Pelodiscus sinensis: one gene and its partners. The protein of the gene in region 1 purifies or fractionates together with the protein of each later gene. This does not show direct contact. Links are inferred from orthologs where the notes say so. Each region holds a gene or a part of one and is shown in the gene's direction. Other genes may lie near its edges. The genes, in order: CLGN, SLC12A2, TCTN2 and SLC9A6.

The links.
Region 2: the proteins of CLGN (region 1) and SLC12A2 purify together in Homo sapiens (co-immunoprecipitation; 3 studies listed by BioGRID and IntAct, with this or other methods). This does not show direct contact. The link is inferred for Pelodiscus sinensis from reciprocal best matches to the Homo sapiens genes CLGN and SLC12A2.
Region 3: the proteins of CLGN (region 1) and TCTN2 purify together in Homo sapiens (affinity purification with mass spectrometry; 3 studies listed by BioGRID and IntAct, with this or other methods). This does not show direct contact. The link is inferred for Pelodiscus sinensis from reciprocal best matches to the Homo sapiens genes CLGN and TCTN2.
Region 4: the proteins of CLGN (region 1) and SLC9A6 purify together in Homo sapiens (co-immunoprecipitation; 3 studies listed by BioGRID and IntAct, with this or other methods). This does not show direct contact. The link is inferred for Pelodiscus sinensis from reciprocal best matches to the Homo sapiens genes CLGN and SLC9A6.

What each region holds. Positions count from the first base shown.
Region 1 is NC_134715.1:43,521,256-43,528,545, forward strand, and holds the start of CLGN (calmegin), read left to right. Parts: upstream 1-4,182; 5' UTR 4,183-4,515; intron 4,516-4,543; exon of another isoform or gene 4,544-4,770; intron 4,771-5,173; 5' UTR 5,174-5,369; intron 5,370-7,290. UniProt on the Homo sapiens protein: Functions during spermatogenesis as a chaperone for a range of client proteins that are important for sperm adhesion onto the egg zona pellucida and for subsequent penetration of the zona pellucida.
Region 2 is NC_134716.1:51,376,089-51,384,445, reverse strand, and holds the start of SLC12A2 (solute carrier family 12 member 2), read left to right. Parts: upstream 1-5,342; 5' UTR 5,343-6,299; coding exon 6,300-6,941; intron 6,942-8,357. UniProt on the Homo sapiens protein: Cation-chloride cotransporter which mediates the electroneutral transport of chloride, potassium and/or sodium ions across the membrane. Plays a vital role in the regulation of ionic balance and cell volume.
Region 3 is NC_134725.1:31,202,799-31,210,376, reverse strand, and holds the start of TCTN2 (tectonic-2), read left to right. Parts: upstream 1-4,539; 5' UTR 4,540-4,704; coding exon 4,705-4,795; intron 4,796-6,043; exon of another isoform or gene 6,044-6,173; intron 6,174-7,578. Other genes in the region: GTF2H3 (general transcription factor IIH subunit 3), read left to right, coding at 593-728, 824-860, 951-1,020.
Region 4 is NC_134723.1:34,716,302-34,723,499, forward strand, and holds the start of SLC9A6 (sodium/hydrogen exchanger 6), read left to right. Parts: upstream 1-3,865; 5' UTR 3,866-3,949; coding exon 3,950-4,199; intron 4,200-7,198. Other genes in the region: MMGT1 (ER membrane protein complex subunit 5), read right to left, coding at 1,803-1,884. UniProt on the Homo sapiens protein: Endosomal Na(+), K(+)/H(+) antiporter. Mediates the electroneutral exchange of endosomal luminal H(+) for a cytosolic Na(+) or K(+).

The sequences.
Region 1 (7,290 bases):
TCAGTTACCCAAAATTTAATATCCTTAATCTGGGTTCACAAATGCTAAAACTTTATATGGTGTCACAATATGGCATAGTTAAGGTTGCTTGGCTGCCTTGATGTATGAGGCGATGAAATTTTGGATAAACTGATGCTCTTGGGAGATTTTATGAAGACGCTCTAGAGATTCACGAAGGTTATTATGTCCCATTATATTAAGACATGCTTGACTGAATGGAAAATAGAAATCCCTTCCTGCAATTTTTCTCCCTTCTCCTTGTGATACCCTTTTAGGGTATGTCTACACTACCCTCCTAGTTCGAACTAGGAGGGTAATGTAGGCATACTGCACTTGCAAATGAAGCCCGGGATTTGAATTTCCCGGGCTTCATTTGCATAAGCGGGGCTCCGCCATTTTTAAATCCCCGCTCGTTCGAATCCTGTGCCGCGCGGCTACACGCGGCACGAACTAGGTAGTTCGAACTAGGCTTCCTAGTTCGTGCCGCGTGTAGCCGTGCGGCACAGGGTTCGAACGAGCGGGGATTTAAAAATGGCGGAGCCCCGCTTATGCAAATGAAGCCCGGGAAATTCAAATCCCGGGCTTCATTTGCAAGTGCGGTATGCCTACATTACCCCGCTAGTTCGAACTAGGAGGGTAGTGTAGACATACCCTTAGATACTTGAAAACTGCTATCATGTCCCCTCAGTCTTCTCTTTTCTAAACTAAACAAGCATAATTCTTTGTCTTCCTTCATAGGTCAAGTTTTCTAGACCGTTAATCATTTTTGTTGCTCTTCTCTGGACCGTCTCCAATTTTTCCACATCTGTTTTTAAATGTGGTGTCCAGAACTGGACACAATACTCCAACTGATGCCTAATCAGCACAGAGTAGAGCGGAAGAATGACTTCTCATGTCTTCCTCACAACACTCTTGTTAATGCATCCAGAATCATATTTGCTTTTTTTGCAACAGTGTCACACTGCTGAGTCAAATTTAGGTGTGGTCCACTATGACTCCTAGATCCCTTTCTGCAGTACTCCTTCCTAAACAGTTACTTCCCATTCTGTATGTGTGAAACTGATTGTTTCTTTCTAAGTGGCGTACAGGTAAGACCTCTCTGGTCTGGCACGTTCAGGACCTGAGCTGTCCCGGACCAGGTAGTTTGCCGAACCAGAGGAGGTCAGTGCTCCCCTGCTGGCTGCCCCCCTCCCAAGCTCCTCTCCCTGAGGCTCTCTGTGCTAACACTGGCCCTGTTAAAGCTGGTTCAACACAGTTCCCCACCTTGCTACCCGGCCACTGCCCCAGGGTCTCCCGGGGTCTTTGGCGGGAACTACTTGGCCACTGTTGGTCCTGTTGCTGCAGGGCATTTTCCAAGGTTCCCGGGTGGGACCACCTAGCTGCTGGTGGCTCTGCTGCCACAGGGGGTTCCCCAGCCAGGGCCGCCCCGCCATCTTTCCCTACTACTAGGACCACCCTGATGCTGCTGGAGATTAGGTCATCTGCCTCTGCCAGACCCGCTGCCATGGGGGGTTTCCCAGGGTTACTGGCCAGGGCTGCACGACCGCAGGCAGCCCAGCTGCAGCCAGGGATTCTTGGCTGGGGCGGGGACTCTTCAGCCACTGCCCCGCTAACGGTGGGGGTTCTCTGGCCAGCAGTGGGGCTCCCCAGCCATTGCCTGGTTCCATTAATTCTGGGGTTCTGGGCCAGGGTGGGGGCTCCCCAGATGCTGTCTGGCCCAGCTGGGGCTTCCCAGCCCCTGCATTGCTCCAGGGCTCTTTGGTCCAGCAACATCCCTGGCTCTGCCAAATCACAGATGTTGCTGGACTAGAGACTCCCGGATTTGGGAGGTTCAACCTGTACTTTGCATTTGTCCTTATTAAGGATGTTAAGGACTAGCAACTATCCGGTAAGCAAATGCTTTGTAAAGGCTGATTCCCCACTGTGGCACAATGAACGCAGAAGTGGGGGCCTGCAAAAGCAACCTCAAAACCTTATCTTTGCAGGCTTTGGTATAAAACTCCCCCCAAAATCCTAAAAACCTAGATTTTGGGGATAAAAATCTGCTGCCACCATCAAGTGCTTTTGAACCCACAAACGGGTGGACACTTGAAACCAGCTCCAGAGTACCCCAAGCTCTTTTCTCCAAAGAGCTTGAAAAATAAAAGATAAAATACCAATTGCAATCTGTGGTAGCTGCCCTCTAGTGAGAGGCATGCAGATATCCACAGACAGATTTTCCAGGACACAGAACTGAACCAATACCAGGTTAACAAAAGAAAGAACTTTTATCATCAAAACAATACTCTTGTTGAAAGCATAATGACTAGATGGAAAAAGTCACCAATTAATATACTCATGGGGACTTCCATGGGCTCAGGACTTAGGCTGTGTCTAGACTGCAGGATTTTTTCGAAAAAACTTCACCTGCGTCTAGACTACAGCCGCATTCTTTCGAAATTAAATTGAAAGAACGCGGCTTTTCTTTCGATGGCGGTAATCCTCATTTCACGAGGAATAATGCCTTTTTTCTAAAGTGTTCTTTCGAAAAAAGGCGTTCTTGAATGCAAACAGGGCTTTTTTGAAACAGAGCATCCAGACTGCCTCGGTGCTCTCTTTCAAAAAAGCGGCTTGCTTTTTCGAAAGAAGAGGTTGCAGTCTAGACGCTCTCTTTCGAAAGATTCTTTCAAAAAAGCCTCTTTCGAAAGAGACTTGCAGTCTAGACGTAGCGTTAGGGAGGAAAACCCATTTCTAACAGCACACACATCAGATCCAAAGTCCCAGAACAGAAACAATAAAACCTAACAGATTTATCTAAACTTTACCCTACTTACACATTTTGAAGAGTCTTTTTCTTGGAGAGAGACATGTCTTCTGTCTCCCTCAGTATCTAGAGAGCAAACTGACTCAGAGACAAAGGAGGGAAAACCTCAAAATTCTTTTGTCTAAGTTTGAAGTCCCTACCTGCATTTCTATTGGCTGAATGCTACCTGGCTAGATATAGGAACATAGATAACCCCTTAGACTCCAGGCTGCTAGCTAACCCTCATGGTTATGACAGGTCCAGCAACATCCGTGGCTCTGCCAGACCACAGATGTTGCCGGACTAGAGACTCCCGGATTTGGAAGGTTTAATCTGTTTCATTTGTCCTTATTAAGGATGTTAAGGAATAGTTGACTATCCGATGCTTATCGGATAGTCCAGTCCACTAGGTGATTTCCCCAGCCTTGCTGCCTCTATTAGATAGAGACAGCAAAGGGGTGGGGGAAGGTGGGGTACTTTAAAGCGGAAGCATTGCACAGCTGATCCCGGGCTCTGTGTGGCATTGCCCCTTTGAAACATTGCTAAGGTGTTTCAAAGTGGTAGCACTGCATGGAGCCCAAAGTCAGCTAGGGACACCCAAGCTGACCCTGGGCTCCCTGTGTCATTTCCGTGGAACCCAGAGTCAACTGGGGAGTCCCCAGCTGATCCCAGGTTCTGGGAAAATGTTGAGGAGCCCAGGGTCAGCTGGAAACTCCCTAGCTGAGCCCAGGCTCCTCCACAGCTTTTGAAAACATGCAGAACCTGGGGTCAGCTGGGGAGTCTCCAGCTGACCCCAGGATCTGGGGAAATGCCTTGAGGAGCCCAGGGTCAGCAGGGGAGTCCCCATCTGACCCCTGGCCTCATGTGGCATTTTGAAGTGGCAGTGCAGCATGGAGTCCGGGGTCAGCAGGTGACTCTGAGCCCAGGCTCCCTGAGGGCACTTCTACTTTGAAATGTACAAGAGTCCCCTGCAGCCCAATCCTCTGCCTCAACCCTGAGCATCCCTCTGCATCTAAACTCCCAGCCCGAGCCTGCATCCTAACCCTCCTCTCCATGCTCAGCCCGGAGCCCCTCTCACGCATCAAATCCCTTGGCCCCCACCACAGCCAGCAGCCCGGGGGAAGCAAAGCACCATGGAGGGACGAGGTGCAGGGGGTGGAGCAAGGGCGGGTATGTTTATGGGATCGCGCAGCAGTAACTGCGGGCCGAGCAGGTGCCTCGCTGCTGAGGCTTTGTGCTGCGCAAGCCGCATGCCCTGCCTGACCCTGGCTAGGAAGCGGGGCGGCACCAAACGGGCACCTGTTTCCCAGCTCCCGCGCGGACACTGACCACTACGTCTGGCGGCCTGGACTGAACAGTGACTGACACCGCGCGTGCGCGCACTGCAGCGGCACGTCCAAAGCTGCGGGAGCAGAGCCGCGAGCCCTTCTGTAAACGCTGATGGTGATTGGCTAAGCCAGCACGTGCTGGGCCCTGACCGCCGCGGACTGAGCAGTGATTGGCTCGGGCGTTGTGATCGCAGCCAGTGGGTCGGACGGGAGGGTCTGGAGTTGTGATTCGCTTGGTCTGTTCGCAGCGTGAGCGGATTGGCTCGGTTGCGCGGCAACACCTGCTCTTCGGCGCCGGCATCGCTTGAAGCGCAGTGGCGCATGCGTAGTTGGAGCTGGGTGATGCGCGAAGGGACGCTGTCTGGCTTTACCGGACAGACGCGGACCGGACCTTCTGTTTTGCCGGTAATTGTCCTCCCGCGGCTAAACGTCTCTGAGTCACGCGGGGACGGGCTGCCTCCGCTCTTGCTGCCTGTGTGGTGGCTCGCGGCTGTGAGCATCTCTGGAGCTCTGCTCGGGGCTTTCGCTTCGCGGGCCAGTTGCTCCTTCGCTCGCCCGTTAATTGGAGGCCAGTGAGCCGCAGGCGCCTAGGAGCTCGGCGGCGCGGAGGAAGTCGGGGGTGCAGGCCGCTTTCCTGCCGACCCTTTCCCCACCCCGGCGGTGAGCCTTCGGCACGCGGGCGCGGCCGTTATTTTGCCGTTAGAATGTCCGTGGCATGAGGGTTCGAACCCCAGCCATGGGCTCGGCGCGTCCCCTGTTGGACACGTGCCTGGCGGGGTTCCCAGTTCCGCGCGCTCAGCCTTGTGCCCCCGCCCGGTCTCCGACTTCGTTCAAACTCCCGCCCCCCCACGGCGGGGCAGAGAGCTCTCGGGCAGCACCGCCCGCCTCTCCTGAGAGATGCTCTGAGGCCTAGTGGGACCAGCCGGAGAGAACAACAGCAATTAGCTCCGTGTGGGGGATGGGCAGTAGGTGCCCTAAACTGTCTGCCTGCCGGGGAATGTTGCAGCTCACTGGCTGGCTGCTCTTGGTTAGGGTCAGTCAGACCCTGATACTCTGGTTTCAGCTGCCAAGCTGTTGTGCGTGTGTATTCCTGGCTGAAGGAGGGCTGCACTACCTTGGAATGCGCAAAATTTAAAACCCGTGTGATGAGCCTTTATCAAAACGTAGGCCCAGGATTTGTGGAGTTTTATGTGGACTGGACATAGCGTCTTGATTCTGAACACGTGCTCGCTTTTATCTGCAGGTTGCTTTAAACATAGGTATCCTTCTGCAATATATCTTATATGTTAACTGCACTAAATCTGCTTCACTGTTAAATGGTTGGGGTTCCGTCCTTTAGGGGAGGTTGTCACTGACTGTCCTCCAATCCTGCGTGTCTTAAATATTCTGCTACTTATGTCTCAGAGCCCAGATGCCTACAGACGAGCTTATGGTTAATATCAATTAATTCAATAATCGTGTAACAGCACAACATTTTAGTGGTTATATGATTATTTGATAATCCCCGGGGGTGGGGCTGGCAGGCAGTGCGCTCCCAGCCCCGCTTGCAGGAAGTCTGCAAGCCTGTGCTGCCTCTTTTCATGGGGGGCGGAGGCGAACTCCACGCAGACAGGGGCTGCGCTGGCATTCCACAGAGCAGCCTCTGTCTGTAGCCAGCCTGGTCCTGCTGAGGACAGAGGCTGCTCTGTGACAGCAGTCCCTGTCCATGGGGGAACCGAGCTCTCTGCAGACAGGGGCTGCTCTGGCATCCCTTATTGGAGGCAGCAGCGCGGAAGTGGGCGGGAGGGAGAGTAGGTGGCTCCATAGGATTGGTACAGAGGCAGCAAGAGGGGGTGCATTTAGTTAAGCCCGGACTTAATTGTTTACTCAACTATGTGCTGACATCCCTAACGTAAACTGCAGTTTAGTGCCCCAGATTATTAGACCTCTTAAAAAAATGACTAAATTAATGTTTTTTGGTAATGTGATGGGACATCTTAAACTTGAAATAGCTTAGGGCCTCAGCATGTCTTAATTGGGTGCTGAGTCATTCCTGTCTTGGAATTCTCAGGGAGTTAAGGTCCATGTCTCCTTAAAGCAATAAGGTGTGCTTTTGTTTCCTTAAACTGGAGTTAACAATCATTTCAGTTAACAATCATTTATCTTTACACCGAGTTGTGTTATAGTAAAGATAAAACAAGGGCTACTTGGTATCAGGCAGAGCAGGCTGAAGATAGAATGGGTTACTTTTGTTTGTATGCTTATGCCCAATACCTAATTTACGAAGATATAGCCTTAGCTCAAGGTAGCTTTCTCAACAATTGTTCTTTGTTTAGCATGACTGACCAGACCCTTTGGCCAGGATCCAACAGATTGGGTGGACAGTGCTTGGTTTCTTTTTCTCCTGAGGTGCACTTCAAAGTGGTAGCACTGCATGGAGCCTGGGGTCAGTATGGGAGTCCCCAGCTGATCCCGTGCTCCATGCGACGCTGCTGCTTGGAAGCGCACTCTCCTCTTCTCCCCCCCCCCCCCCCCTTCCCTCCGGCTGTCTCTGACTAGTCGTTCACATCCCTCCCCTGACTGGCCCTACATTTCAGGTAATTGGATCTTTCAACAGACGTTTAAAGTGCATTTCTGTTACCCTCTGTAAATCTAAATTTTTCAGGGTAAAGAGTCCTTGCCCTCATGAGTTAAGTAGCATGGTTTAAAGGTGATCATAGTAGTTATTTCTGTTTGTACATTCTTTATCAAATTTTTTTTCTTTTAAAGAAGCTTCCTCTGTGGAGGGGAAAATAGATTCAAAAGAAATCTAATCTACCAGGAAAGTTAAGAAATATTGAAAGCAGTAATTGTGCTAGGATTGAAAGAATACTAGTGGAAATTGCTGTAATGTAGACCAGATGTTTGAGGCAGGAATCTCTTTGTATGTGTCTGTACCGTGCTTAGCAGAATGGGCCTTGGCTTCTGATGCTGCTATAACTTCTGGTAATATACTAGCATGTCCAACACACAGTTGTCTGGTCCTGAGTAAGACTTGAGGACTTTTTAAAATCTGCTCCAAAAATCCTTCCTGATCTGTGCAACTTTGTGTTACGGTAGTACCTAAAAGCTCAAACCAAGATGAGAATTACAGGACATTTGGTACTTCACAATTACACATATACAGTCTTGGGCCACATCTGAACTTGAGGAAAGATGGAT
Region 2 (8,357 bases), on another chromosome or scaffold:
TATATGCTTTTACAAGTATATATTTATGTTTCAATTTCAATTCAAATTTCCAGCTAAACTGGTAATCCTGCGAATAAATAGTTGAGCACTTGGGGGGGGGGGGGGGGGGGGGAGATGTTGGGGAAATTCAGGGGAGTGATGAGAAATTTTTACTCTGGATTGTTTAAAGTCAGGCTCTTAGGCTGTGGGGTCTCAACCTGTGGGCTGCATGTGCCCCAAGTAGCACACTGCTGGGATGCATGTGTGCTAAAGGCTGTCAGCAGGGTCTGGGTTCCCAGCTGCATGACTGTCCAGTGGTGTGAAATCTAGGCTGGCTAGAGCTGGGTCAATGGGAGAAACTCGCCAATCAATGTAATGTGTCTTGTTCTGGTGGAGTACTGGACTTCACAGGTGTGCATTTGGCAGTTGATTTAGTGGGAAAACCCAATAAATCAATCCCTGATGGATCAATCGCTGCAGCAACAATCCACCTGGTAGAGGAGACAAGCCCTTAACTCTGTGGTATACTACATGTCAGCTTATACTACCTGTTGGCTTTTCCCCCAGTCCTTTTTAAACTATCTATTAGGGGAGTGTGGCGGGCTCACCAGCCCCATCCTCTTCTCCCCAAGGTCCGGTCCCCTTTAAATGCAGGCACAGAGGCCTAGTCCTTTCAACGGAGGCCCAGCGGCCTAGTCCTTTAAATGGTTTCCCTCGTCGTCTGGGATCTGGTAGGAAGGGGTAGAGGGGCCTGGGCCCCCCCCCTCCACTGGGCCCCAACCCAGGGCCCTATCAGTGGCAGGTGGTTTCCACTACTGGCTCAGCAGGGCATTCTCCCCGGAACTCACTGAGCCCGCTGGGCCTTTTTCTGGCCCCTGCCTTGGGTTGCTTCCTACCCCCTTGCCTGGTCTGACGGCAGTCCCACCTGAAGGTGCAGGTCCAGCAACAGCAGCAACAGCTTCTAGGGAGGCTGTGCAGCACGGCCAGCGTTGTGGTCTGGCTCGTCCCAGTGACAACATCGGCAGGGGTAACGGGTCCTGCACCTCTTGGTCCGGTGGCTGTGGCTCCGGCTCTGGGGCCTGGAGAGGAGCTCCTTCCCCTCCCGCGGCCAGCCCCAACTGAGCAGCCCGGCAGCCTTTTATACCAGGGCTGCACTGCGAGCATGCCCAGCAGGGTTGCGGGGAAGGGGCGTATTCCACCCAATAGGCGGGCTCTCCGCCCCCCTGTTCAGTGGGAGGCTGGCCAGCCCCGTCACAGGGAGGTTCTATTAATAGAGATGCTCTATTTTCTAGTCAGGAGGAGATGATGGAACTATCAGATCAAATGAGGCACAATCAAATGAAAGAGTCTAACATCAGGAAATGGCAGACAGATAAATAGTGACAAATTATTAAAGTGCTTATACGCAAATACTAGAAGTCTAAATAGTAAAATGGATTAACTGGAATGCCTAGTTTTAAAGGAGGATATTGATATAATAGGCATCACGGAAACTTGGTGGAATGAGGACAAGCAATGGGACACAGTCATACCAGGGTATATAATATATCGGAGGGACAGAGCAGGTCGTGCTGGTGAGGGAGTGACTCTATACATGAAAGAATGAAGTAAAAATCTTAAATGAACCACAACGTTCATAGAATCTCTATGGATAGTGATTCCATGCTCCAATAATAAGAATATAGCTGTAGGAATATATTATCGACCACATAATCAGGACAATGATAGTGACTATGAAATGCTAAGGGAGATTAGAGAGGCTATCAAATTAAAAAACTCGGAAATAGTGGGGGATTTCGACTATCCCCAGATTGAGTGGGTACACGTCACTTCAGGACAGGATGGAGAGATAAAATTTATTGATACATTAAATGATTGCTTCTTGGAGCAGTGGGTTCTGAAACCCACAAGGGGAGAGGCTATTCTTGATTTAGTCGTAAGTAGAGCGCAGGATCTGGTTCAAGAGGTAAATATAACTGGACCGCTTGAAAACAATGACCTAATGTAAGAAAAATACCTGAGCAGCCCAACACTATGTCATTTAATTTAAGAAAGCAGAACTACACAAAAATGAGGAAGTCAGTTAAACAGAAAAAAAAAAAGGTACAGTGACAAAAGTAAAATCTCTGCAAGATGGATGGAAACTTTTCAAAGACATCATAACAGAGGCTCAACTTAAATGTATACCCCAAATTAAAAAACACAATAAGAGAACCAAAAAAGTGCCACCGTGGCTTAACAACCAGGTAAAAGAAGCGGTGACAGATAAAAAGATATCTTTTAAAAAGTGGAAGTCAAATCCTAGTGAGGAAAATAGAAAAGTCCGTAAACTTTGTCAAATTAAGTGTAAAAATATAAGAAAAGCCAAAAAGGAATTTGAAGAATAGCTAACCAAAAACTCAAAAAGTAATAGTAAAATGTTTTTTAAGTACATCAGAAGCAGGAATCTGGCTAAACAGCCAGTGGGGCCCTTGGACAATCGAGATGCTAAAGGAGACCTCAAAGATGATAAAGTCATCACGGAAAAGCTAAATGAATTCTTTGCTTCAGTCTTAATGGCTGAGGATATTGGGGAGATTCCCAAACCGGAGCCATTCTTTTTAGGTGACAGATCTGACGAATTGTCCCGGACTGAGGTGTCATTAGAAGAGGTTTTAGAACAAATTGATAAAGTTAACAGTAACAAGTCACTGGGACCAGGTGGCATTCACCCAAGTGTTCTGAAAGAATTTGCAGAACCATTAACTGTGGTTTGTAAATATCCTTTAAATCAGCTTCTGTACCTAATTGATTGGAAGATAGCTAATGTGACACCAATATTTAATAAGGGCTCTAGAGGTGATCCTCTAGATCACAGGCCAGTAAGTGATTACAGGCCAGTAAGTCTAATGTTAGTACCGGGCAAATTAGTTGAAACTAGTAAAGAATAAAATTGTCAGACACATGGATGAATATAATTTGTTGGGGGAAAGTCAACATGGTTTCTGTAAAGGGAAAACATGCCTTACTAATCTGCTAGAGTTCTTTGAGAGGATCAACAAACATGTGGACAAGGCTAATCCTTTAGATGTAGTATATTTAGATTTATAGAAAGCCTTTGACCAGGGCCCTCACCAAAGGCTCTTAAGTAAAGTAAGTTGTCATGGGATAAGAGGGAAGGTCCTTTTGTGGATTGATAACTGGTTAAAAGACAGAAAACAAAGGGTAGGAATAAATAGTAAATGTTCTGAGCAGAGAGAAGTAACTAGTGGGGTCCCACAAGGGTCTGTCCTGGGACCCAATCCATTCAACTTATTTATAAATGATCTAGAGAAAGGGGTAAACAGTGAGGTGGCAAAATTTTCAGATGATACCAAACTGCTCAAGATAGTTAAGAGCAAAGCAGACTGTGAAGAGCTTCAAAAAGATCTCATCAAACTAAGTGATTAGGCAACAAAATGGCAAATGAAATCAATGTTGATAAATGTAAAGTAATGCACACTGGAAAGCATAATCCCAGCTATGTATACAATACGATGGGGACTAATTTGGCTACAACACCTCAAGAGAGAGGTCTTGGAGTCATTGTGGATAGTTCTTTGAAAACATTCACTCAGTGTGCAGAGGCAGTGAAAAAAGCAAATAGAATGTTAGGAGTCCTAACAATGACTCCTAACATTCTATTTGCTTTTTTCACTGCCTCTGCACACTGAGTGAATGTGTACAGATGTGGTCACCCCATCTCAAAAAAGATATTAGCATTGGAAAAGGTTCAGAAAAGGGAAACAAAAATGATGAGGTGTTTGGAACAGGTGCCATATTAAGAGAGATTAAAAAGACTTGGACTTTTCAGCTTAGAAAAGAGGAGTCTAAGGAGGGATATAATAGAGGTTTATAAAATCATGACTGGTATGAAAAAATGAATAAGGGAAAGTTATTTACTTATTCCCATAATAAGAGCTATGGGGTCACCAAATGAAAATAATAGGCAGCAGATTTAAAACAAACAAAAGGAAGTTTTTCTTTTCTCAGTGTGCAGTCAACCTGTGGATCTCCTTGCCAGAGGATGCGGTGAAGGCTAGAACTTTAATAGGGTTAAAAAAAGAGTGAGATAGATTCATGGAGGTTAGGGCCATCAATGGCTATTAATCAGGATGGGTAGGAATGGTGTCCCTATCCTCTGTTTCTCTGGAAATGGTGGGGAGGGGATCACATGAGGATTAGCTGTTGTGATCCCTCCCTCTGGGGCATCTGGTATTGGGCAAGGTTGGCAGACAGGATACTGGGCTAGATGGACCTTTGGTCTGACCCAGTATGGCTGTTCTTATGTACGTACAGTTTGGTCAACGTAAGGCAGCTTACATCATGCTAATTGTGTCAGTATATACTACTGCAGCCTTACTTATGATATAAATGCTCTATTACACTAATATACTTTCACCATCATGACAGCGTATAGCAGGGCAGTTGTTCGCTGTCATTGTCGGTTTCACAGACATCTGCTAGACCTGTGAAATTGACAAAAAGGCTGATAGGTTTCTTGCTGTAAACCCCAGGCCTCCTCACAGCTTTGTCTGTCACACTAGGGGTGGGGGCACTATTTGGAGCTCTGCGTCCCCAGCCGAGGCTCCTGGATCTCGGTTGAGAGCAGGATAGAGAGGGTGGGGAGGTTGGCAGGGTCAGTTAGGTTCTTGCTCTGGAGCTCTGAGGTCACAGTTGGGGGACAGGCACAGGACCTAGCTGTGTGTGGGGAAGTGCTGCAGCACACCTGACCTGCATCCAGAGCCCTGGCTGCTATCTCCCCCCCACACCCAGGCTATGTCTACACTGGTGGCTTCTCGCGCAAGAGAGCTTACACTTGTAAGAAAAGAGTGTAGCTCTTGCGCAAGAAGCTTTCTCTTACCAGCAGGTACTGTAAATCTTGCGCAAGAGCAGACAGGCAGTGTGGATGCTCTGTGGATTCTTGCGCAAGAACGGCCGTTCTTGTGCAAGAACTCGCCAGCATAGACATAGCCCCAGGGTCCTGGCTGCTGATCCCTGCCTGGGCCTTTCTTTGTCCATATCTCCCTCATCCAAAGTCGGGTGGGAGAAGGCAGAGGCACAGACCTGTGCGCCTGCCACTGAGCAGTGTATGCAAAAGCAGGTGAGAGCTGGGGAAGCTCAGCCCTCCCCTTAAGGCAATCGACCACGAGACAGAAGGGGAGGGGGGCTATGAAAATGTGCAGTAATTGCAGCACAACCGCACCGGCTCCTGCTGACCTGCCCCCGACCCCCACCACCTCCTAAGAGTGGCGCCCGGGGATTTTCTCGCGAGATCTTTCCCCGCGCCGCAGCCTGCGGAGCCGGCGGGCGGACAACTTTCAAACCGGGGGAGCGAGCGCGAGGCTAGGCCCAGGGGGCGGGGACGGAGCCAGCCGGCACCATCGGCCAGCAGCGCGCGCGCGCGGCCTGCCTAAGAGCGGCGGCTGCTGGTGCTGGGGCTGCGAGCGCCGCCTGTCACCCACTTCTCCTCCGAGGCGGCGGACGCAGCCGTAGCGGCGCTAGCATCCGCCCCAGAGCCGGGTGTCTCCTCCTGCCGCAGCGCGCCCGGAGGGACCGGGCGGGCGGAGCCTCCGAGACAGGCGGCGCCTCGCTGCCGCCGCGCCCGCTCCGGGGAAGGGAAGCGACGCTCGCTAGGGCCGGAGGCGCGCGAGTCCCGGCGGCCGAGCCCCCCCCCCCCCCGAGGACGGGGAGGGACGGAAAAAAGCCACTTCCGCCGCCAGCCCGCCCTCGTGTCGCTTTAAAGACCCAGCCCCGAGCCGCGCCGCCGAGCCGCGATTGGCTGAGCCCTGCCCCTTCGGCCGGCTGCTGTCAGCGCCTTGGGGCCAGCCCGCCGGGCGAGCGCCGCTCCGCCTGCTCCTCGGGGTGTCAGTGCGGCGGCGTGGGACCCTGCCTCGGCGTGTCGGGCGGTTCTGGGATTAGGTCAGGCAGCGCGGTGGGGAGCGGGAGCCGCGTGTGCCCTCAGCCGGGGGCCCTGCTGCCCAGCGCGGGTGGGTGGGGGGCAGGAGGTGTCGGGTGCCGCTGCGGAGCGCGCCGCAAGGCGGCTGTTGCTGCCCCTCTGTCCGGGCTCAGGGTCTTGTGGCGGGCGGAGGAGCCAGAAGTGCCGCGGCGGCGGCAGCATCATCACCTGGCGCTGCGGCGGAGGCGGAGGGAGGGGAGAGGCGAGGAGGGGCGGGCGCGGCGCGTTGCGTGGTCTTGGGGCAGCCCGGCTGGTGGTTGGACGTTTAAAGCAGCCGAGCCGCCGCTGGGGTGTCAGAGGCAGCCGGGGCCGTCGCTCGTTCGCTGCCGCGTGAGCCGGAGACATGGAGGGGAAGCAGCCGCCGTCTGGCTCCACCCGGCAGCAGGCTGCTGCGGCGCCGGGAGACGCTGAGGAAGCGCCGCGCTTGCCGGCTCGCGTTGGGGATGCGGCGGCTGTCGGTGCGGAGCCTGAAGCGGGACTGTCTCCGGCGGCAGCGGCTGGTGATGCCCTGTGCAGACCGCTGGGTCCCACCCCGAGCCAGAGCCGCTTCCAGGTGGATCTGGTGGCGGAGGGCTCTGGCCGGGCGGCAGCGGACGAACCCCAGAAAGCTGGCGGGCCGGGCGGCGCGGCGGGGAAGGGCAGCGACGAAGCCAAAGGCAGGTTTCGGGTGAACTTCGTGGACCCGTCGGCCGGCGATGATAGCCATGTCGAGCACGGCGGGGGCCCGGAGGGCGGCGGGGTCAGCTTCCAGAACGGCGGCGATACGGTGCTGAGCGAGGGCAGTCTCCACTCCGGGTGCGGCGGCCCCGGCGGGCATCACCACTACTACTACGATACCCACACCAACACCTACTACCTGCGCACCTTTGGCCACAACACCATGGACGCCGTGCCCAGGATAGATCACTACCGGCACACGGCCGCCGACCTGGGCGAGAAGCTCATCCGGCCTAGCCTGGCCGAGCTGCACGATGAGTTGGACAAGGTAAGATACTGCGGGCATCTCCATTCCTCAGCCCGAGTGCTTCAGAGCCCTGATGGTGCTTGTGCTCACAGTTGCATTGCTTCCTTCCTCTTCCCACGTGGGGGCCAGATAATTCAGATCTGCGCTGACTAACACGGGCCGCTGGGTTGCAATAGGAAGCCTTTGCTCTGTCTTCTCTCTGCCCTCCTCCCCTTGTCTGAATTTGATCTAGGCAAAACAACTAAATGATTTCCCCTTAAGCTCCTTTCTTCGTGTTGGTTTCAGTTGTCCACAAACCGGCTTGAGATAAATGTAGATTTGTATTAGAAGGAAAACAGCAACAACTTGTCACTCAGATTTATAAAGATGCAGGTGTTGGACACTGACCAGTAGGAACCAGTCACAATTGTATATTTGAAGAACAAATGGCTTTACAGTGAACCCTCGCTACTTCGCGGTTCGACTATCGCGGATTCACGACTTCGCGGACTTTTTTCATTACATTATGAATCCGCGATGGTCGAACCGCGAAGTAGCGGTTACCAAAACTTTAAAAAGCCTCCGGGGAAGCCGGCGGGGGGGCATCCCAGGCGCGCCTGGGCTGCTCCCCCGCCGGAGCCCCTCCGCGGCTTTCAAAGCCTCCGGGGAAGCCGGCGGGGGGGCATCCCAGGCGCGCCTGGGCTGCTCCCCCGCCGGAGCCCCTCCGCGGCTTTCAAAGCCTCGGGGGAAGCCGGCGGGGGGGCATCCCAGGCGCGCCTGGGCTGCTCCCCCGCCGGAGCCCCTCCGCGGCTTTCAAAGCCTCCGGGGAAGCCGGCGGGGGGGCATCCCAGGCGCGCCTGGGCTGCTCCCCCGCCGGAGCCCCTCCGCGGCTTTCAAAGCCTCGGGGGAAGCCGGCGGGGGGGCATCCCAGGCGCGCCTGGGCTGCTCCCCCGCCGGAGCCCCTCCGCGGCTTTCAAAGCCTCCGGGGAAGCCGGCGGGGGGGCATCCCAGGCGCGCCTGGGATGCCCCCCCGCCGGCTTCCCCCGAGGCTTTGAAAGCCGCGGAGGGGCTCCGGCGGGGGAGCAGCCCAGGCGCGCCTGGGATGCCCCCCCCGCCGGCTTCCCCCGAGGCTTTGAAAGCCGCGGAGGGGCTCCGGCGGGGGAGCAGCCCAGGCGCGCCTGGGATGCCCCCCCCGCCGGCTTCCCCCGAGGCTTTGAAAGCCGCGGAGGGGCTCCGGCGGGGGAGCAGCCCAGGCGCGCCTGGGATGCCCCCCCCGCCGGCTTCCCCCGAGGCTTTGAAAGCCGCGGAGGGGCTCCGGCGGGGGAGCAGCCCAGGCGCGCCTGGGATGCCCCCCCCGCCGGCTTCCCCCGAGGCTTTGAAAGCCGCGGAGGGGCTCCGGCGGGGGAGCAGCCCAGGCGCGCCTGGGATGCCCCCCCCGCCGGCTTCCCCCGAGGCTTT
Region 3 (7,578 bases), on another chromosome or scaffold:
CCTAGTGGACAAGTGCTAATAATGCAGAACCCATCAAAATTTGACAACAACTGGCAATCTGGTTAGTATTTGCAGTATAATATCCAGTGACTGAATGGACCATGATGACTGAAGAATTCTCTTGCCTGCAGAGGTATTTGCAGCAGAATAGAATTTCAGACATGATGGTGGTAGTAGGAGGGAGTGAGGAGCAGCGAACCTTCCATGACTATTCTTTATTGGTTCTGTGGATACATTTTTTTATTTCTCTCTGGAGGTATAATTCTGGCACCTCTGTCCCCATTAAACTCACATATGGTTCAAATTGATGTTGAATGAATTGTAATATCTTAAAATGACTTGATTTTTAAAAGAGCATTTTTTATTTATTGCAATATGAGTATAAAAACATTTCCTGGAAGGTAAATGAGGACAAAATTCCCTTCTTGCTCAAATTACTTAATGACTTGGTACAGTCATAGAGGCGAGTTTCTTTGGCAGATGGGAAGGTAACTTTTTTCTCTGCAGTAATTTTGGTATATATAGCAAAGCGTACTTTAACATAATAGTTTCCTCCCAGATTCTAAAATTCCCCTCTCTTTAATTTATACAGTGGGTATTTCTTCCTGATCAAGACCAAAGATCCCAACTAATCCTTCCACCCCCCATTCATGTTGACTATCGAGCAGCTTGCTTCTGTCATCGAAATCTCATTGAAATAGGCTATGTCTGCTCTGTGTGTTTGTCAAGTAAGTTTTACAAATATATTTAACAGAACTGACCTAATTTCTCTTGTTTCAAGGTAATTATTTTAGTGAAATTGACCTATTCTTTTATTTTCCAGTATTCTGCAACTTCAGCCCTATATGTAGCACATGCGAGTAAGTGCTTTTCTTGATTTTTGTTTGCTTATGTAGGCTAAATGTAGAAATATATTTAGCATATCTTATTTTTAATTTCTTGTATTTCAGGACTGCTTTTAAGATTTCATTACCACCTGTCATGAAGGCCAAGAAAAAGAAACTAAAATTAGCTGTATAACAAAGTTATAAAAAAACACCATTACTTCTTGCATGTACCTGGAGTTGGTGGCATTTTTATAAGGTGAAATAAATTGTTCACATTGTACAAATCTACATTGCTAAACATTTAAAAACATCAAAGAGGTTGTATGCACCTTCCTTGTAAATAGCAGATGGTTGTATTGGTGCATGGTTTGTATGATTTTAAAATCAAATCTCCTATTTGACCATTAGGAGTCAGAAACTGCTGCTTGTATAAGCAGAAGATGCCCTCACCATCATAAAACAACACAGCATCCCTAATTCTGTTTAGAGTCAGAGGCAGAATGTAAATACTTAGGCCCTGCTCCTGCATGCATGGTAAAGGTAAGCATGGTCATATGTGCTTTGCAGGATCCATGCTGTAGTGGATTCTGCAGCTCTCTTTAGTACAATTTGTCATTTAGTTTTATTTGGGATGAGGCAAATTTTTGATATTTTTCCTTCCCTCTTCCCACTAAATTATTCCTTTTTAGTGGGCATTATCTGCTTTGTGTGTAATTCTTTGCTCACTTTGGTATCTTCTCCCAAAACAAAAGTAAACACAAAATTATTCATTTGAATAATCTATTAACGTTACAGAGATAAGTAATTTTCCTTTTAAAGTTTAATAAAAGAAAAATCTAGTATTTATTTTTCATTCATGTTTAAGGATTTAAGATATTTTGAAACTGGAAAACAGTTTAAATCTCTGGAATCTGATAGCAAGTTTCTTTTTTTAGGTTTGACTAATACCACGGAAAGATAATGTAGGAAGGCCTCTGTTATGAATTGATTTTTCCCTCTATCTCAGCAGGTGAATGCATGGTGCATGTTCTCAGTTTTCCAAATGTTATGTTTAAATCAAACAAACAAAAATCCCTAGTTTTGAATTCCTAACTGCATCTTTTGGTGTTTTAAATTACATTTAGTAATTGCTGTAGTAATCAGAGGCAATATGGGAATGTTTTCTAAATAGAAAACAGGATTGTAGATAAATTCTTTTTTAATGGTATATACAGGAGATGATTTATAGTATTTTCATCAGGTTAGATTGGGAAACCATTTTATTGAAAATGCTAATATTTTACTGGCTTGTTAGCTAAATGCAATTTTATGTGAAAACTGTATTTATAGTTTGTTTTTTATAAATATTTGTAATAAAGTGACTTTTTAAAAAAGTTGCCTCTTTTCCTTTTTTAGTCTCCCTTTGAAATAATCTTAAAGGTAAATTCAAAAATTAATTGAGAATCTAAACCAGATAAGGTATCTTACATACTGTTAGGCTACATCTATACTGCGCTGTCTTGCTCAAGAAAATATGCAAATGAGACAAAACGGTGAATATTGCTGCACCTCATTTGCATACTTAATGAGCCGCCATTTTGCGCAAAAAGGAGCTGTCTAGACTGTTCCTTTTTGCACAAAACCCCTTTCACAAGAGCAGTTCTGCTGGGTTTTTTAGGAAGAACAGCTCTTGTGCAAGGGGGTTTTGTGCAGAAAGGAGCGGTGTAGATGGCTCCTTTTTGCGCAAAAGCCCCTTGCGCAAAATGGCGGCTCATTAAGTATGCAAATGTGTAGCGATATTCACCACTTTGCCTCATTTGCATATCTTCTTGCGCAAGAGAGCATCATATAGATGTAGCCCTGATGAATATTTTAGCCTTAAACATGCTTCAATATGTACAACTAAGAGGGCAATATGGTCTATTGCAATCTAAAATTAGGCGTGGTTTTTAAACTCTAAGTAGTACAGGCAGTTCCTGGGTTACATGGATCTGACTTGCATCGGATCCCTACTTACAAACGGGGTGAGGCAACCCCGCACTAGCTGCTTCCTCCCAGAAGACCAGGGAGACGTGAAGCTAGCGCCCCCCTCCCCCCCCTCCAGCAGACCAGGGAGACGCGGAGCGGCTTTTCTCAGCAGACACCTCAGCTTGAGAATAAAGGACTGAGGGAAGTGAGGTGTGCGAGAATAAAACTGAGCTCTGGAGAAATGTTTGGCTAGAGTTTCCCCTACAATATGTACCAGTTCCGACTTACATACAAATCCAACTTAAGAACAAATCTACAGTCCCTATCTTGTACGTAACCCGGGGACTGCCTGTATTAGAATACCTACTTATACAGGGCCATCTTTACTCATATGCAGAATATGCAGCTGCGTAGGGCACCCAAAAATTTGGAGCATCACTGGATATTCATGTCTACCCGGCTGCTTTTCCTATCACTGGCCTGTGGCTCTGCTTCCTCAGGAGAGAAATCAGTTAACTTAACTCTGAAAAAGCTGGCCAGGCCAGATGTATTGGTAGAACATGTAATCTGTGAAAGTGGCAATGAAGCCAACCCCAGGTAAATAGACTTGTCAGTTTCTGAATGTACTGTATTAGTCAACAGGATCTGAGTATGAAATTAGCTTAAAGCCTATTTAATTAGCAGGCCCATACACAGGAATTTCTGTGCGTGAGGGCATGAGTGGTGGGCATGGCTGGTGGCAGCCCTTGCTGTGGGGGCTGAAAATCAGCTCCAGCCTTGCCCTGGCCTGCTGGAGCACAGAGAAGGGAAGTTGGACAACATGCTGCTCCAACCTCATGCTTACTTAGAGGACTATGAGCGGGAGGAGCCTTTGCACCTTTTGCCCCCCCTTGCATAAAGGCATGATTAGTGTGTTGCCCAAGATTACAAAATTGCATCTCTAAAAAAAATCATCATTCCCCTCTGTTCCGCCCCCAGGCTGTGTCTAGCTGGCAAGTTGGAAAAACTTGCCAGCTGTCTACACTGGCCGCTTGAATTTCCTCAAGAACACTGACGATCTCATGTAAGAAATCAGTGCTTCTTGCAGAAATACTATGCTGCTCCTGTTTGGACAAAAGTCCTTTTGCGCAAAAGGGCCAGTGTAGACTGCTCAGATTTGTTTTGCGCAAAAAAGCCCCGATTGTGAAAATGGCGATCGGGGTTTTTCTGTGCAAAAGCGCATCTAGATTGGCACAGACGCTTTTCTGCAAAAAGTGCTTTTCTCCATGCCAATCTAGATGCTCTTTTCCGCAAATGCTTTTAATGGAAGACTTTTAAGTTAAAAGCATTTGCGGAAAATCATGCCAGTCTGGACTAGCCCCACTGTTGTCTGGTTTCATAGTACTGTGTGGAGTCCCATAAACCCTAGGGACAGCCCTGACGGGATACCTATCTATTTAGGCCTCAGCAAGATGCCCTTACAGGAGCTCGACAATTTTACAACTGCATAAAACATCAGCAAGGCCTCTGCTGCGAAGCCATTTGCCTGCCCCACGAGCTCTGCAGAGGGGGAGCTGCTTTGCTAGGCCATGGCCGCTCACGTGGGGCCGCTATTCCACCAGATTCAGGTCCAGACGGACTAGCGCCCTGCTCCTGCGGGGGCGCCCAGCCCACCAGCCCGCCACAGCGACTCCAGCCTTTGCCGGGTCACACGAGCAGGGCTGCGCCTCGCGCACAGGGCGCCTCACCTGGGCCGTGGCAGGAAAGCAGCGAGTCTGCGCGTGCGCACAGTATTTCCTCGTCTCGGCCGGCGCGGGCACGCCAGGGAACGGCTCTAAGGGCCTTCCAGTGATCCGCGAGCCACCGTTTCCATAGCGACAGAGGCCCGCCGCAAGATGGCGGCTGGGTTGTGGCTGCCTGTGCCGCGTTTCTCTGGCAGCCCCTGCCCGCCATGATCCCTTCTGTCCTCTGGGCGCTGTTGCTGCTGGGGTCTGAGCGCCCCGCGGGGCGGGCCCAGATCCTGGCTCCGCCAGGCAACCTCGGTGGGTGCTGTGGGGGGTCTTGGCAGCTATGGGGGGGGGTCCTCAGATGTGGGAGGGGCAGAGACCTGGCTGCCCCCTCCCGCGTGCGGGGCGCTGCTCAGGTACGGCCCTAGTGACGCGCTGGCTTATGTCTCTGTGTGTGTGAGCCCAGAGGCTGTGGGGGGGAGGCTGGCAGTGACCCCTCTGAAATGTGGGGGCAGGGGGGCTGTGGGAAAGCACAGAGACCTGAGGGGAGGTAGGGGAAGAGGCCAGAGAGACTCCTGGAGACAGCAGCAGATAGGGAGGGCAGTGTGGAATAGGGATGTACCATTCAAATTAATTGGTTAACTGGTTAAACATGTTTAACTGGTTAACGGGCAGGGAGTTGCTCCAACCCCTACTGGTTAACCAGAACCAGAACACCTCACCATTCAGATCCTTGATGTGGAAGGGACCCAGAGGTGGGGAGATAAGAGGATGAAATAATGGGGCGAGATAAAGGAGAGAGGATTAGGTTGGGTCTCAGAGAGTGGGGTGTACAGACTGGAGTTTAGTTATAGTCATAGAATCATAGAATACTAGGACTGGAAGGGACCTTGCAAAGTCATTGAGTCCAGTCCCCTGCCCTCATGGCAGGACCCAGTACTGTCTAGACTATCCCTGGTAGACATTTATCTTAACTACTCTTAAATATCTCCAGAGATGGAGATTCCACAACCTCTTTAGACAATTTATTCCAGTGTTTAACCACCCTGACAGTTAGGAACTTTTTCCCAATGTCCAACTTAAACCTCCTTTGCTGCAGTTTAAGCCCATTGCTTCTTCTATTCTCAGAGGCTAGGAAGAACAAGTTTTCTCCCTTGGGACGGACATAGTGGATTAAGGCAGGGTCTTTAAGGGTCAGGTGCTGGACACATCAAGGTCCTGGGGCTCATGGGGGAGAGAGTGGGAGTTAGCCATCAATTATTATGATTATTGGGTGTTTTATGGATTTTTGGAGCTGGATTGCATGTGGCTATTGGCTCAGAGAATGGAGGAGAACAAGTAAGGGTCAGAGATAGCCATAAGCAGAGCTCGCCGAGCAGTGGTGAGCCCTGCTCACCAGCTGCGCGGTTCTGCGCTCTGCACGTGCGCAGATCGCTCCGTGCCGGCTCTTCCGGGGGTGGAATCTACTCGCCACAGGCGAGTAGATTACACTAATTGTCGAGCCCTGGCCATAAGTCACTCTCTTGTACGTTGGCCATCTGATTTTCAAAAATGTTTCTTTAGTGTATGAAACCAAAGGTGCTGAGAATTCATTTTGAAACACTTGGAGAAGAGGAAGGTGATCAGGAACAGTCAATATGGATTCACCAAGGGCAAGTCATGGCTGACCAATTTAATTATTCTCTATAATGAGGTAACTGGCTCTCTGGATATGGGGAAAACAGTGTCTGTGATATGTCTTGACTTTAGAAAAGCTTTTGATATGTTCTCCCACGGTATTCTTGCCAGCAAGTTAAAGAAGTATGGCTTGAATGAATGGACTATAAGGTGGATAGAAAGCTGGCTAGATGGTTGGGTTCAACAGATAGGTATCAATGGGTTGATGTCTAGTTGGCAGTTCGTATCAAACAGAGTTTCCCCAGGTCCTGGGGCTGATTTTGTTCAACATCTTCATTAATGATCTAGATGATAGGTTGAATTGCACTCTCAGCAAGTTTGCTGATGACACTAAGCTGGTGGGAAAAGTAGATAGGCTGGCGCAGAGTGAGCTAGACTAATTGGAGGATTGAGTCAAAAGAAATCTGTTGAAGTTCAACAAGGACAAGTGCAGAGCTACAGGCTGGGGACGGACTGGCTAAAGCAGTTTTTCCAAGAAGGACCTGGGGATTGCAATGGTCAAGAACATGGATATGAGGCAACAGTGTGTCATTGTTGCCAAGAAGACTAATGGCATATTGCGCTACATAAGTAGGAGATCACCAGCAGATTGAGCGAATTGATATGAACGACTAGTCGATAAGCAAATGCTTATCGGATAGTCAACACTCTAATTGACTAGTCGCTCCCTCCTCTCCTTGCTGCCTTTATCAGAAAGAGGCAGCAAGCAGGGTGGGGAGAAGAGGGTGCTTTAAAGTGGCAGTATTGTGTGGAATTGGGGCCAGAGCCTGGACTCCATGCAATGCTGCTGCTTTGAAACACTGCATGGAGCCTGATGCCAGCCTCCCCGCAGCATTTCAAAGTGGCAGTGCCACAAAGAGCCAGGAGTCAGCAAAATCTCCAGCTGACCCCTGGTTCCATGCGGCACTGCCATTTTGAAACGTCGTGGGGAGGATGGGGCCAGTGAGGGACTACTTTGGCCACTACTACTCCCCACAGCGCTTTCACCTTTGAAGTGTACCAACAGCCCCAGGGCGGAGGGCTGTACCAGCAGCCTCAAAGGCAGAGGTTCCCTTATTGACTTATCAAATAGTTAATGCAAATTGCATCAACTATTCAATTAGCCAATTAATCTAAATTTAACATCCCTACTTTCTACGAAAAGGATGTGAACAAACTGGAAGAGTCCAGTGAGAACAACAAAAATTATTTGGAGGCTGGGGTACATGATTTATGAAGAGAGGCTGAGTGAACTGGGCTTTTTTAGCATGCAGAAGAGAAGAATGAGTGGATTTGATAGCAGCATTCATCTACCTGAAAGGGGTTCCAAAGAAAATGGAGCTAGGCTATTTTCAGTGGTTGCAAATGTCGGAACAAGAAACAATAGTCTCAAGTTGCAGAGGGAGGTCTAGGTTGGATATTAGGAAAAACTTTTAGGAGGG
Region 4 (7,198 bases), on another chromosome or scaffold:
ATAAGTGCTTAATCAGTCCAACCCAGTCAGAGGCTTAGGGCTCCATGCAGAGAGCTGACTGACTGAGGGGGGCTGATTAATCACCTGTGAAGCTGTCCTGCAGCAGTTTAGAGGGAACATTGCCCCTAGCACCCTGACCTGAGCCCCTCATATACCTCAATCCTGACTCCTGTACAGGAATCTTGCAACCGAAGTTGCAACTCCACACCGGGCCAACCAGAGTGTATGTCTATTGTCACAATGCTGCCATTTATAAATGCTATACTTATCAGCCTAATTCTACAAGACATTACAGGCAGAAATTTAGCTCAATACAGTTAATTATTTTCATTCTAGTCAGAGGTATGCAGTAGTGTGGAATTTTGTAAGCACATTTTGCATTAACTTAATCTGTCCTAAAATTCAGATAACTCTGGGTTGTAAAACTAAAGGACATCACCTTTTTCTGAATTATAAAAGTAAGTGGTTTAAACAATGAGCAGTCCTGTGGCATCTTAGATAATAACAGATTTAGTTTAAAAAAATGGATAGTCCTTTAAATCATTTTATACACATTGTTGGCATGTGTGAGGCAGCAGAAAAAGGAGGTCCCAGTGTTCAAGGGGTTAAAGAAAGCCTCTGGGCCAACCTACCCCCTCTGGCTTCATCTGCAGCCAATACCAGGCCTGGAGGAAGTAGAGAAGGAAGGAGCCTGGCTCATTTTGGGGCTGACTAGCAAGGATGCAGGAGCTTGGTTCAGCAGAACCTGTACACTCAGCAGCCATGGGAGTAAGTAAGCCCACACCCCTATCCCTCCAAGAAAAGGTTGGAAACTTACTGAGAAGCTCCAGCTAGGGGGAATCTGGACTCTTAGGGCTATTCCCCAAAAACTTCCTGGGCCAGTAGCACAGGGGGCCAGAGTCCCTCTTTCCCCACTTGCTTATTCAGTGACCTAGCCATAGCCTGTTCCCGTATTGCCCCACCACAATCCTGACACGATTCTAGCAAGTGGTGTCTCCAAAACCCACTAGAATTGAAAAACAGTATTTTAAAAAACGGAAAGTTAGGAATTTGAAATAACCTTAGACAGGCTTCAGAAACGTGTAATATTTAGGTTTGCCACCTACCACAGCTAGAACCATGCTGATGCCTGCGTGTAAATGTTTTCAAGGGGTTATTAATCTTTCCAAGCCAGAGTCCTTGACCAGGACTTTCTGATCCTGGTTACATAAAGTAACTGGATCCTTGATTCCCAAAGCAAGCAATTTGGGAGAAATTATACCATTTTGCTTTAAAGGTATTGAGGATCTCTACAAGAGAGGCTTGAAAATTAACATATGGGCTCAAAAGAGAACTGGCTACACTTTACACACTCTTTTCCTCCTCTAAATATACTTAAAGCTCTGGGCGAACCTACCCCCTCCGGCTTCATCTGTAATCACAGCTCTGTGTGGTACCCCCCTACCCGCCCTTCCTGGCCCAGGCCCCCAGCTCACGGCTGGCAATGCGTCCCCAAATCTCCCCCTCGGCAAACGGCTTGAGGCGCAGGGATTTCCTCAGTAAGAACCGGCCCCGCTTTGCCCCCGGAATCTCTCTGCCGCCTTCATCTAACTCCGCCTCGTCCCGGCTGCCACCAGCACCCGCGCCCCGCTCCTGCGCGCCACCCCCACCCCGCGACGCCCAGGCGCCCGCACTGCCCCTCCCCCGCTGCCCGAGCAGCGTGTGGGGAAGGGGCCGCGGGGACGAGGATGGCTACGTCCCCGCTCCCCGCCCGGGCGACAGCCCCTCACCCCCCGCGCCGCCTCCAGGTCCCGCTCACTCACGCTGCGCCGCGGAGAAGGCCGCGTGGGCCAAGGCGAAGAGTCCGATCCCCACCAGCCCCTTCCACAGCGAGGCCGCCGCCATCGTCCCCCGCCGGCCACGGGCTCCCTCCCTTCAGTCCGGCCGGCTTGCGCCAGGGGGGCGACCGGCGCACGGAGATGGCGTCACCCCTGAGCGGCGCTAGAGGGAAAAGAGCGGGAGGGGGGGGGAAGACAGGGGCAGGGTCATAGGTCGAGAGGTGTGGCCTGAGATGCTAGAAGGGACGGTCGAGGGGCGGGGTCAGCGGTGATTGGCGAAAGGGCTAGGGCTGTAGTTGAGGGCGGGGCCAAGGCATACAAACTCATATAGGAGGGGGGCATTCATAGGGGCCGACAGTGATAGGCAGGAGGGACAGTCATAGGCTGAGGGGCGGGGCCAACAATGATAGGCAGGAGGGGCAGTCATAGGCTGAGGGGCGGGGCCGACAATGATAGGCAGTAGGGGCAGTTATAGGCTGAGGGGCGGGGCCGACAGTGATAGGCAGGAGGGACAGTCATAGGCTGAGGGGCGGGGCCGACGAAGATAGGCGGGACAGGCAGAGTCATAGGTTGAGGGGCGGGACTTAAGGGTGAGCTTTGCTCCCAGGTCCTTTGGGGAGCGGCATCCCGTTAGCCCGAGTGGCAGGCTGCTGGGCCCACTCCTCTGGCAGAGTCCGAGGCCTTCCCTGCGGATGGGGGTTGTGCGGTGTCCTTGCTGTGGCAGCCCCTAGCTACCTTCCCTCTCCCCGGGAGCCGCTTCTCCCCTGGCTGGTGGGGCAATAGCACTGGAGTACAAATGGCGGCCTGGGGAAAACTTGTATTTTGCACAGCTGCCCTGCTGCGCGTTGCCGCTTGGCCTCCTCGATATCCCCATCCGCCTCTCACCCTGCACTGTGTCCCCTTCGTTCCTAACTCCTGCATTCTCCTGGGAAAAACGCCCAGGATGCATGGATTCGCTGTTAGCTTCCCCTCTCCAGCAATGCTCTGAGCACCTTAGGAGGCTAGGAGCTGGGAAGCAAGGAGCAATATCGGGTCCATGAAAGACAGGAGAGCAGCAGCTCCTGATGCTCACCTCAGGCATAACTGGGCTGGAGAAAGTGGCCTGGAGGCACAAAGCATGAATGTGTTACATCTGGCTTCCCCCATAGCCCTGTAGAGGAAGGTTTGTGGGAGAGAGATCACCCTCCCACCATGTTCTTATACTGGGAGGAAACTGGCATCAACCTGGGTAGCTTTTCTCTCCAGAAGAGCTCCCGGGTCAGCCAGGAGCAGTTACTGACAACCTAAGCGGCATGGTTCTGTGCTGCATAGTAGCACCACTTTGAGTATGACACCCATTTGCAGTCACCTGGGTAACTCACCCTTAAGGCTTGCTTTGCCCCTGTCCCTCCCAAACAGCTGGCCTCACAAAATTGGGAACGTTCAGTTTCCTGGCTTTAGAACCCAGAACTGGACAGCCTACTAATTTCCCCAACTGTCCCTCCAGTAGAGCCCAATGGTGGTGAGGGTTATATCAGCATATATCCTGTGTTCCTGGTAGATAGCTCACACATGAAGAGAGTCACATTAATTACACTGCATCAATGACTGTGTACACAGAAGAGTTTTAGATCCCACTGACTGGCTGCCATTGGATTGAGCTTTGCAGCTGCAGAGCTTATGAAATACTGTGGTATTTTGGGGTGCAGCAGCACCTCAGAGTTATGAACGGACCCGTCAACGTAAGAACATATGTTCTTAATGTTCAATGGGAATTTTTTAACAGACCCATGTTTTGTTCCCAGTGACAAACACGGTAGAGTAGGGAACCACTGCCATGCCATCCCCCAAGGATGGGTAACTCCGCAGTCTCGCTTTACGCGGTGCCAGGCAGGTGTGATGCTGCCGGATGCTAGGCATGGGCAAGCCTAGGCATGCGGGGTTCCCAACACGCTAGGCTGGCTGTGAAACGGCGGGTGCTTCGCTAGAGCAGCCGCACTTCCCCGGGGGCCTCCAGCCGACAGCCATGGCCTGTGCCCCTTATGCCCCTCCCCACGCGCGCCCGGCACCGCCCCACTTCCCGCCCCGGCGCCTGCGCCGAGCCCTGCCCACAGCTCCGCTGCCAGCCGGGCCCTGCGGACGGAGCCGGAGCCATGGCCGTGGCGCTGCCCGTGCGGGCGCTGCTGCTGCTGCTGGCGGCGCCGGCCCGCGGGGAGGTGGCCCGGCCCGTGGCCCTGGAGGAGGAGATCGTGTCCGAGAAGGCGGCGGAGGAGAGTCACCGGCAGGACAGCGCCAACCTCCTCATCTTCATCCTGCTGCTCACCCTCACCATCCTCACCATCTGGCTCTTCAAGCACCGCCGCGCGCGCTTCCTGCACGAGACCGGCCTGGCCATGATCTACGGTGAGGGGCGCCGCGCGCCGGCCCCGCCCCCGGCTCTGCCCCTCAGCCGCCGGCTCCCACTCCGCGACCAGCCCTCGCAGCTGCCCCCCCCCCAGCTGCCCTTCAGCACCCCGCCCCTCGCAGCTGCCACCTCGACCCCCGCCCCCTGGTTGCTGTCTAGCGACCAGCCCCCACCCCCCTGCAGCTGTCACTCAGCCCCCACCCCCTGAGCTGGCTTTCAGCCCCCCCCCCCCCGGCTCCACACCCCCACCCTTCCGCTGCTGCCTAGGGACCAGCCCCCTGAGCTGCCCTCCGGCCCAGGGCTGCTGCCTAGCAACAGTCCCCTCCACCCCTCCCCGGAGATAGCACCTGCTCTCCCCCCCCAAACTCTCATCCGCACCTCCCCAGTAACCAGCCCCTGAACTGTCACATAAAGTTTCTCAGTTGCCACCCAGCAACCAGTTGATAGTGGGCACCCTCTATGTGCACTTCCTGCTTGAAGCCAACCTGGTCATGTCTACCGTGAGGGATACCCCACACCCTCCCGACTGCTTGGCTACTGAGCTGCCACACAGAAGCCAGCCAGACTCACCCTTGGAGCTGGCGCACAGCACCCAACACTTACCCCACCCCTCTGACACCCACGTCTTGGCATATTGACTGCACAAGGTCTGCCGGGTAACTTCCTGTGGTGAGAGACTCTCTCAGGACCCAGCCATCCTTTTGAGCCATCCAGCAAACAACCCCATCTCCCACTCCGTGTCAGACCCATCCCTGGGAACACTGCGTGCGTGAGACCAGGCAGGACTCAACCCCCCTCCATGCATTTTGCACCCAACACCCGTGATTTAGCACCCACCCGGCAACCCTATCATAGCACTTCCTGCATTGGAGTGGCCTACTCACTATATAGTCATATACTTTCTGCGTGAGATGGAATCAGATCTATGGTGAGACTGACCAGGAAAATACCCATCTGGGGTCTCCCTCAATGAGACATCAGCATCTACTGTACCATTCCTGCATAAGAAAGATCTGGCCATGAGGGGTTGACCTAACCCTAACCCAGGTGTTTTTGAAAAGCCTATATAATAGCTGAAGTGTGTGTCTTTAAAAGTTGCAAGACATTGTATTTTAAGTAGGTTTTTTTTTTAAAATATTGAGAGGTCTCTTAATATGGGGTGGGTGAACTGTTAAAAGGATCCCTTAGTGCAGAGACACCTGATTTCACATAGTTCTGGCAACTGTGGAAGGAAAGTGCACTAGGCTAAGAGGATGAAAGAGATTTGCCCAGATCTTAAATTGTGTTCTTTGCCTGGGAGGTATGTATATAACATGTCACTGCGTGTTAATAAACTTTTTTGAAAAAAAATATTGCATTGTATCAAGACTAGAGATGTTACACATCTAATGTCCAGAATAAGGATGAAAGCGACTAGTCGACTACCCGATAAGCCTGGGCTTATCGAGTAGTCAAATGCCTAGTCAACCAGTTGCTTTCTCCCCACCTTTGTATCAGGGGCAGTGGGGCAGTAGGGGTGGGGGGAGCTGGTGCTGGTGGGAGCCAGCTTAAAAGCCAATTTCCCCCCAGCACAGTCTCCACAGAGGAGCAGGGGAGACAGAGGCGCAGCAGGGAAAATGGCATGAGCAGGGAGTAAAGCAGATCCTGACTGCTGCGCCTCTCTTTCAAATGTAGTAAGAGCCCCGCAGAGGCGCTGCAGGGAACCCAGAGTGAGCGGGGACTCAAGTAGAGGTGCAACAGTCGGGATCTGGTGCGAGACGGGATAGCAAGCTCCCCCCATGGATATTCCATCAACTACTTGATTAGCTGATTAATCGAAATTTAACATCCCTAATCCATAAGGTATCACGCTAAAGCAGGGTACTCATCACGCAGCCCATTTGTTTGCGGCCCGCAATGTAGTTTGATTTTACGCGGGGCTCAACACGTGGCATGCAGGTGGAATATGTGTTTTAGTAGTTAAATTCCTGGACTGTCATTGCTCATTGAAAGTACTGTCATAGGGGTGGAAATCAGGTAAATACTGCATTTTATTAATATCAGCAGGAGTGACTTAAATGGAGCCTGCGTCTTGTGTAGTCTTGCCTTAATCTTTGTATTCATGCCCGCCAGTGTGAAAGAAGCTGTTTGCATATATTTGCATGTATATGCAACCACACTTAAGTTGCGGCCCTCGGCATGTACTGTGAGTATCATTGTGGCCCCTGGGGCTTCCAAAGTTGAGTAGCCCTGCGCTAAAATGTTTATATAATTCCTGCCCATCTGACACTTACAGTAAAGAGGTTACAAGTATAGGCCCCAGCCCTGTGATTTCTCTTATGGAGATGGTGTCAATGCGGCCCTGTGCAGAGCTCTTCCTGCATGAATCTTGGAGGTCATATTCTCATCTATGAAAGTATGAACCTGGGGACCCAAACATTTATCAAAGTGATTAGTGATTTTGGGTGATCAACTTAAGGCATCCGAGTGGATCCTCAGTGTCAGAAAGTGCTGAGTTCCTCCCACTGAAAATTAGCCTCATTTAATGTATCTCAAGTTGGGCACCCAAAATCACTAGACGCATTTTAAAATCTTGGCCTGGAATGTTAGTCGTATTTCTAATATAGAGCTAAACTGCACAAAGCATAGGAGAACTGGAGTTCTTAACCACTGCCTACACTAAGTTCTGTGTTGCAGCTCAGTGAAACTAGGGAACTTCTAGGTGGTAATGGATGTGTAACAACGTAATATGTCTCATTGGGCAATAGAATTTGAGGTTCTGTGGCTGGTTTATACTTAGGCTGAGATTTGAGTAGTGTCTTTCTGTCAGTTTATCTATTTGCACTATGGAGATAATATTTACCATGTTAGGAGGAGTATTTGCAGTACACTGGAAAGAGTTAAACCACCACCATCATCATTCTTCTCGCACCATCAGATGCATGAGTGAAAAGTCACACAGCACCTGTCATCCCTATCCTAGGCTCATTTTTCTGTGTATATATATTCCAGTGTAATA